Linked DNA regions of Danio rerio. The protein of the gene in region 1 interacts with the protein of each later gene in a biochemical or structural test. Links are inferred from orthologs where the notes say so. Each region holds a gene or a part of one and is shown on either strand. Other genes may lie near its edges.

The links.
Region 2: the proteins of vcpip1 (region 1) and waca form a complex in vitro, tested with the Homo sapiens proteins (2 studies listed by BioGRID). The link is inferred for Danio rerio from reciprocal best matches to the Homo sapiens genes VCPIP1 and WAC.

The regions. Positions count from the first base shown.
Region 1 is NC_133177.1:45,057,697-45,062,031, reverse strand, and holds the start of vcpip1 (deubiquitinating protein VCPIP1), read right to left. Parts: upstream 2,805-4,335; 5' UTR 2,668-2,804; coding exon 78-2,667; intron 1-77. UniProt on the Homo sapiens protein: Deubiquitinating enzyme involved in DNA repair and reassembly of the Golgi apparatus and the endoplasmic reticulum following mitosis. Necessary for VCP-mediated reassembly of Golgi stacks after mitosis.
Region 2 is NC_133187.1:25,085,652-25,089,656, forward strand, and holds the start of waca (WW domain-containing adapter protein with coiled-coil), read left to right. Parts: upstream 1-1,201; 5' UTR 1,202-1,390; coding exon 1,391-1,431; intron 1,432-1,609; coding exon 1,610-1,643; intron 1,644-2,435; coding exon 2,436-2,622; intron 2,623-4,005.

The DNA.
Region 1 (4,335 bases):
TATAAGACACTCTACAGTCTTGCAGTAATCTCATACAGCATATCACTTACAGAAGAGTGTGAGTGTGTGTTTCTTACCCATGAGTGCTGCCAGGAGACACAGTGATGACATCTCAAGGTCAATGTTGTCCTGAAGTTCCCTGCTACTGCTGTGGCTGAGGCGTGGGTCAGAGTGAGCGTGTGTTTGAGGGCTGTGAGTGTGTGTTTGGGTTACTTGAGGATCAGCCGAGCTCTCCTTCAGCACCTCCACAGAAATCCGATCTCCATGCTGAAGCGCCACGGGCCGGTTCTGGTCTTCGGGAGGTGGTGGAGGCAGCTCTCTGGGCGGGAACCCATGACGAATGCACAGCTGTCCGGGCGACAAGTTGAAGACCTGGATGATTGAGTTCTGGAGATCACTGTAGGTAGTGTGCGGCTGCAGAGTAAGCATGGCCTGCCTCCCGTCGCTGGTGGTTACACGGATCTTCTTCTCTCCGCTGGTTGGGGGTACTTTGGTGGGAGTGGGAGGAGCGGAGGATGATGAAGAGGAAGGAGATGATGGGCGAGGGTCCTGATGGCGCACGCGATCTGTGCTGCGGCGCTGGGAGAGGGCAGCCTGCTCGCTGATGCTGTGCTGCAACACCCTCTCGGTTTTGCTCATGACCAGCTCCTCCTTATGCAGAGTTTTTCCCTTCTGTCCCGTCAGGATGATTTTAGTCGGAGGGTGAGCAGAAGATTCACCTCCGTCTACTTTATTTTGCACGTGAGCACCTTCGATGGCAACTGGGTTGTATTCATCTTGGCTCTTCTTTGCGGTGTGATGCAAGATGGTGTTTACTACCTTCTGGACTAGGATTTCGCTGCCAAATTCACCAGGGAAGTGCTTTGTGACGAGACGCATGGTCACATCGTATACATTACTATTGAGAGTCGGATCAATTTCGTACTGGAACCAATAAACAGTTTCTCGGACTACACGGCCAGCCCACTCCAGAGTGATCGGGAAGGCTTCGGGAAGATTGTCGTACTCCTTTCCTTCCCAGAAGTGTTTGAACCCACATCCGCACTTGCCACCTTGAGAGGGAGTGTTAGTGCGGTCCCCGTCCAAATACACCACAGAGCCGTCACCCCGAACTCTGCGTACTGAGGTCCCATGACACCAGGTGCAGGTTGTGAGTGAGCTGAGTTTATAATCAGGCACGAGCACATCTTTTTCTGGGTTGTAGGAACAAACTAAACTATTTAATGGGAAACTGTAGTTCTTGTCTGCACGGAGCGTCCCGTGAGTTGATTTGGCCAAGTTGTAGAGTTTCCCTCCAGGTATGAGCCATTCGGCTGGTACGTGGAGCTCTGAAAGAGCGTTGCAGACCAGGCAGCGGTGGAGGCGGCCTTCCTGGATGGATTTCTTGGCCGCTTCTGTCACCTCCTCCGGCTGTACGCCGATCACTCCAGTGCGTCGGTATATGTACTGGTGGACGTCGGCTACTAGAGCGGGATGGATGCTGTGCTTGTCCATGAAGACATCCTCCATGGCGCTTACGAGGCGCAGGAGGTACTTATCCTGGAGGCTCCGGTCGCCCCCAATCACACAGCTCCCGCTGGGATCCAAACTCACATACTTGCGGATGAGCTCCTGAGGAACACCCCACGCTTTGGGAAGCAGTGCAGCAGGCAAACGGGGCAAAGCCAAGCCCTTGATGCCCACAAGAGGCAGATAGTGATTTCTGCCAGAGCTGCTCCAGGCGATGCAGATGGGCTTGTTCAGAGTGCCGTCTTTCCCTCGGCATTGCTCCTCTGGAATAAGGCCCGGTAGGAAAGTGGCGGAGTAATCCCCGGAGCTTCGCATACCGCTCAGCGAGTCCAAAAGGATTACAGGTCTGTGAAGTACATTGGCCAGGCCAAATATGTGAATGTTACGCAGGCCCAGTGGAACGCCTTCTGGAGGGACAAACAACGGGTCACACTCATTGATGATGTCTTCCCATTCTGCAGCATCTATGAAGTCCTGGAAAAGAGCTTTGTAGCGGTCGAGGTTCTGCTTGAAATGGAGTTTAAGGTTTTCCCGAAGAGCGTGCCAGAAAAGCTCGCGTCCAACTAACGCCCTGGACACGGCGTGGACCAGGCAGTGTCCATCTCCGTCCACATGCACAGGAATAAGACACTCTCTATTACCGTTCGCTTTCTTGATCTCCTCCAAGGTGTCATGCAAGTAGATCAAGCTCCCTGACCGGTCCCGTCCATACCCAACAGTGGACACATGCTCTTGCTCGATGAGAAATGCACGGTCCCCAAGCAGCGAGCAGTCAAAGATGTCTCCCTGGTTCATTTCCTTCAAGAGTTTGGCAGTGCCTGTCTGTTTGTCCATGCCATAGCGGGTGAGGATGGGTGACAGTAGCTTGCAGTGGTAGTTGGACAGTCCCATCACTTTCACCAGCTCTGAGCCCTTCTTGGGAGGGCCTGGCACACCCAGCAAAGCATTTCTCAGCAAATTATGAAGCACTACATCAGGGTTAGTCACTTCCTCCACATTGGCGAGATTCTTCTGCTCGTGTCTCTGTCCGCACTCGGTGCACTCGATGCTCATGGAGGTGTGTGCGGGGAAGATGAGCTTCGCCTGGCACTGCGGGTCCGGGCACATCCCGCATAAAATGCGCCTATCCTTCTGTTTTGAGCCCGGAATCAACGACATAGTCCAATCTGAGATTTCTTATGACGCCGCGGTTTACAAAAGCATCGCTGTTTAATCGGCGACGGACGATAGAAAATTATGTCACCTCACGCAGTTTCTGTTTTCCAGTAACAAACACAACACGGAAGCGGTTCTGTAACAGCGTGACCCTATGGGTCGCGCAATGCATGTTGGGAATTGAAGTTCTAAATCGTCTCAGGTCATCTACCTTCTAACGGCATTATTTTAAAAAGCCACTGATTAAAATGTATTTTGATATTATTCAAAATTACTGCCCTATTCTGTAGTTACGAAATTGAGTTTCTCCACTTGGACGATTATACAACGAGGGCTCTTTTGAAAAAGTGGCTTTAATAAAACTACAATATCCACAATACAAAGAAGGCCAAAGGTTGTGTTGTGTTGTGTTGTGTTTATGGAGTTTAACAGACTTCATATGGGCGTGAGAATAAAATGCAGACATTTTTAGGATATCAACGGAATAATATTAGATCAATGCAATAAACTAGATTAATATTACAATGGTGTGTTCTCTTTATTTGTAACAGACAAAGTACGTTCAGGGGGTGAAGAAGACTTAAAAAATGAATAGGCTATAGAAAATAATCTAGACTTTTATAACGTAATCTAATATTTTTAAATTAAATTCTTTCTTGTTGTGTTTTTTACTGTAATTATAAGAAAGTGGTCATTTAAAATTGTCATTTCCATCACAAAATGTTTTAACCATGAAACATAATTTTGCATGCAGAGAATGTTCGGGGCACATCCGTTTATTTATAAACAAACAACCAAACCAACAAACAAACAAATAAACAGTTCAATTAAATGTATTATTTAATCACAAATGTGTCATAAAAAAATATATGATACAATATTTTCTGTGTGGAGAAATTGTTGAACATTGATAGGCATAAGTGCTTTAAATATAGAGCTAGATGACTAGAGAAATTTATTTTAAGCAAACAACAAAAAAACAAACAAACCTTTGAGTTGATCTACAAAAAGTCACAGTGGAACAATTCATCCAGCTTCTGCCTACCCGAGCGTTATATATATCGGCAGCTGGAAAAGCGGAAACCGGAAGAGAGGAAGTGAAACACAGGAAAATAGCAAGCGAGGAATAACGGCGCTGCTTATGTTTTTCCAGAGAGACACCGAACCATGGATCAGTTAAATCAGATCATGAGGCGATTAGCACTTATTATAAATACACAGTTTATTTAAGAAAACCCCGATTAACGTTACTTCCATCGCATGAACAAATCCAAATATCAGATGACACGTTCATTCATTTTATCTAATGAAATCAGGACAGCAGATTTTCTGCTGGCATTATTAGTTTTCATCAGGTAACACCTATGTTTTAGTGAATAAACGCAAAATCACATTTCACTAACTTTATTATGGTGTCTGATGTCGGCGTGATCTGATCAAATGGCTGTTTTGTGGAGTGGAGGAACAGATGCATTCAGAGTCCTGTAAACAGAGGATTGAACTGAGTTTCAGCTCTTGGCGGAAATCAAAGAGGTGTGTAACTAAACATCTCATTGTTTTTTGTGATGTTTGTTTCTAAAAATGTTTCTAACAAACCAAGCCTTAAATGTTACTAGGTAATGATAATCGGAAGTGCCCAAACTTTTTCTATGAAGGGCCAAAATCCAAGCT
Region 2 (4,005 bases), on another chromosome or scaffold:
CTGACTCAGCCAAGATTCAAACTAGCGACCTTTTTACTGTGAGGCGATCCACTGCGCCACTGTCCCATCAAAATGTTTTTTTATTGTTGTTTTGTTTATTTTTTTTGTTATACAAAGTTTATCTTAATATTTTAAATCAGTTTGACTGATGTAAGTTGAGATGACTAGAAAAGCTATTTGATTCATCCAAAACAAATGGCAGCAAGATTTTTTTAAAGTACAATGTGTTTTTGTTTGGACTGCAACTACAAGTGAACTTATAAAATACAATACTGAAAGGGTGAATAGCACTTTCTTTAGTTTATTAATTGAAGTCTATTATCAGTACAAGTTTTAATAAAACAATATGCAAACTTAAAATACTTATTTTTTAGCTTGGAATAAACAATTTTTTGAAGAGCTGACAGGGTTTTAAATCTGCAATAACTCAAGTTTGAATGCAACTGAAAATCTGTATGACCTGTAAATATCCACCCACACTCTTCATCTCATTTGGCAGAACTGGCACAAAATTTACATGGAAAAACAGACAAAAATCCAGACTAAATGTGCACATATACATTACCCAAGAGAACCTACAGCTCTAATTGCTACTGGCAGATATTTTACGTTTAGAACATTAGTTTTAAAGCCAACTTAATTTATATTAGATTTAAAACACTATATTTTGCAATGAATGGTTTCAAATAACAATCTTGTTTTTTCTCACTTCATATTACCTGGAAGGACTCGGTTCCACTTGTGATATTTTTGACATTGTTCCTGTTGCTGTCTCATTTAAAAAGTGCGCTCACATCATGCATCTTTTCCCAGAATTCCCCAGACTCACTTGTTTTAGTGAGTCATACTGCATCAGGGCCTTTCTGCACTGCATCCATCTTCCAGTACTGACTCAACACGTCCAGTAGATGTCAGTATTGGGTTAAAATTGCTCGCACTGAAAGTCAACACTTTTCCAAACCTAAAATTGAATGAGAATTAAACTTCTTTGTGAGTAATTCAAGCACAGTTGGTTTAGACTTGTTTTATCCCAGTGAACATCCTCACCGATGCTTCGTGTTCACATGCGCTACTTACTTCAGAACTGTATTTGCGGCCGAAATATCCCGACAGTAGCCGAGTGTATCCGAAGCGAGCCCCGAAGTAACCCGGATTGAGGTGTGTGAGGAAGGCTGAGCTTCGCTGTTCTGTAGATAGGGGCAGAGTTTTGGTGTGTGTGTGAGTGGGAGATGGACCGAGGGCGCTCTACTGACTAGCAGAGGCGAAGAGCGACTCCAATAGCCAGAACTATTGAAATAATATACGCGATCGTGTCGTCGATAGCCCACTCCTAAAGCAAAATAAGTCGCCCATCTTTCACATCTACTTCACACACACTAACACGGCATTGATGGTAATGTATGCAAGGAAACAACCGAGACTCGGCGATGGGTAAAGAGCTGTTTTATACTACGATTTTCCTTCTCCGCTTTGACAATCCGCCATTTTTAGCCAAACCAAAATAAGTAGAAACTTAAGGAAGCCGATTCAGCTGTTGCAATTTCTAACAATGTTAGTCAAAATGGGTTTTGACTTTAATTTTGTCTCTCTTTTTTGTTTTATTTCATAGGTGCACCGACCGAAGGGATTCTCAGCCCTATCAGGTAGATCTGAAACAAATAAGATTAAAATGGGGTAAATCTAGTCCAGGCTTTTGAAGCAGTACAGGCCTCTGTGCGTAAAACAGAGCAAAAAAGTGTCGTATTTTTCCGGAGATCAGCTTAAAACGACAAACACGTATATTTTAGGATGTGAACATGAATTTACACTGTCGTAAATCGCTTGCCCGTCGAATTTATCACATTTTAAATGCGCCCAGGGCGCTAGCGACTTTAACAGGCTAACGTTAGCTTGCTAGCGGCTACACCAGGCCTGCGTTTACTGCGAGTTTCATCAAAATTGGTAATATAAAATGTATTATCATGATATTATGGGGCATAATAAGATGTTTTAGAAAAACTTTTATGTCGTAAATATAATTTAAGGCCAAGAGGTTGTTTATAAACAGCCGTCTTGATAGCTAGTTAGTGCAACCATATCCAAATAAAACGAATGCAGTTATCGTGTAAATGATTAAGATATAGTTAAGAATGGCATAATTGTCCTTATAGACTTTCCATGTTACGTTAGTTAACTGAAAAAAGTAAAGATATGGTATGACAACATTAATATACATAATATAGTCCTATGAAATGTTTTATTAATTTAAAACATGTCAGATGTTTGTTTGCTAGTCAAAAACACCTTAGAGTAGCATCAAACATAGTCCTCTCAGGGTAAACAGGCTTGTCAGCTATGTAATATCAGCTATGTCCACTATAAACCAGCTCCTTAATGCATTTGAGAGAGAGTAATTGTGCAGCATAGTTCAATGCAGAAATGTCATGTTTTGACAGACTCTTAAGTACTCATCCAAGAGTCACCCGGATCACAGACATGAGAAGATGCGCGACAGTAATGATGCCACTCCACCATGCAAGATGCTGCGGAGATCAGACAGTCCAGACAATAAACACATGGACAACACTGGCCATGGCAGAGCAAAAGCCATCCATCCACACAGAGGGAGAGAGCGAGAAGGAGGTAAGAAGGGGAAGGCCGGGAGTCATATTGATCGTTTGATTAGATGCACAGGTCTGAGGCTGATACTGGTCATGGATCTGTGTTGTAAACCTTATGGCGTTCTCAATTAGTGCTTAGGTTTTTCTATAGAAACACAACTAGTCAGAAATCATCCTTTTGTGTTAGTCATGTTGCTGTGTTTGGTTAAAGAGACAAAGTTAAATGCATTTCACAGGGATTGCCTAGCTTTCAAATCAGAAATTGTGAGAGATAGAATTGTAATAATTTCATATCACTTGAAAATGTCCTGCAGAATTCCTAATGCTTTTTTGCCAGATCCACATGAGTTTATTGATATGGGAAACATTAAGCATGTTTTTAGCTATGCTAGAATAAATCTGTTTTTTATAGTTCTATTGGATAGTTTAACCAAAAATGAAAATTAAGACTATTTCCTCAGCATCATGTCTTTTGCATACCTGTGCTTGTTTTCTACTGCTCAAGCATAAAATAAAACATACTTTAAGTAATGTTCGGAACCAAACTGGTTTGAAGTGACGGTTGATTTATTATTAAATGGTTAAAAAATTGTTATTCATTTTTATTATTTATTTTATTCTTTTGTTTTAATACGTAGTTTTTATTATTATTACTTTGAAATGTAAGTTATACAATACAATAGTAATACATTTGTTAAAGTTTCTTGAATGAAACTTTATTGAATTAGCTGAACATTAAACAGAATTTCTGTTTTGGCAAGATGTCAAAATAAGATTTTTTGTAAATTAATAAATAGTTTTTTCTTGCATAAACCAATAAAATGTTGGCGACACTTTAAGCAGCTCTACAGATGAAGTTCACATTTCTTTCCGTATCATATGGGCACTCATGATTTTGATCGATCAAATGTTGCTATGTCAAGCTGGCAAGTCAAGTTTAGTTGAGTTTCACTGTGATCATCAGTTTCTTCATATACATTTCATGATATTTTACCACTTGATTCATTTGTTTATTTAGCCATTGATTTCTTAAAGCAGCAGTAGGTGATGGTCTTCAGAAAAAAAATTTGTTGTGCTGGTTAAAAGTCTATAGTAATGATTAAAGTAAATGATCTAAATGTATTTATATGTATTTTTATATTCTTGGGTAAGCCATAAGACAAAAAAAAGTTCATCCAATTAAATATTTTCGGACCTATAATTCCGATAAGAAGCCCAAACTGTCTGTCAACAAATGTAGATTTGAACAACTGCCAACCCGTTCGCGCAGATCGTGCCGTGCGTTTACACGGGCAGTGGACACGAGTGACAGTGCTGAAAACAATCTCATAATCAAAACTTTTTAAAATCCTAGATCAATATTGGAGTTACTTTTGCACTCTGTTGGAATGATGACTCCATGCCT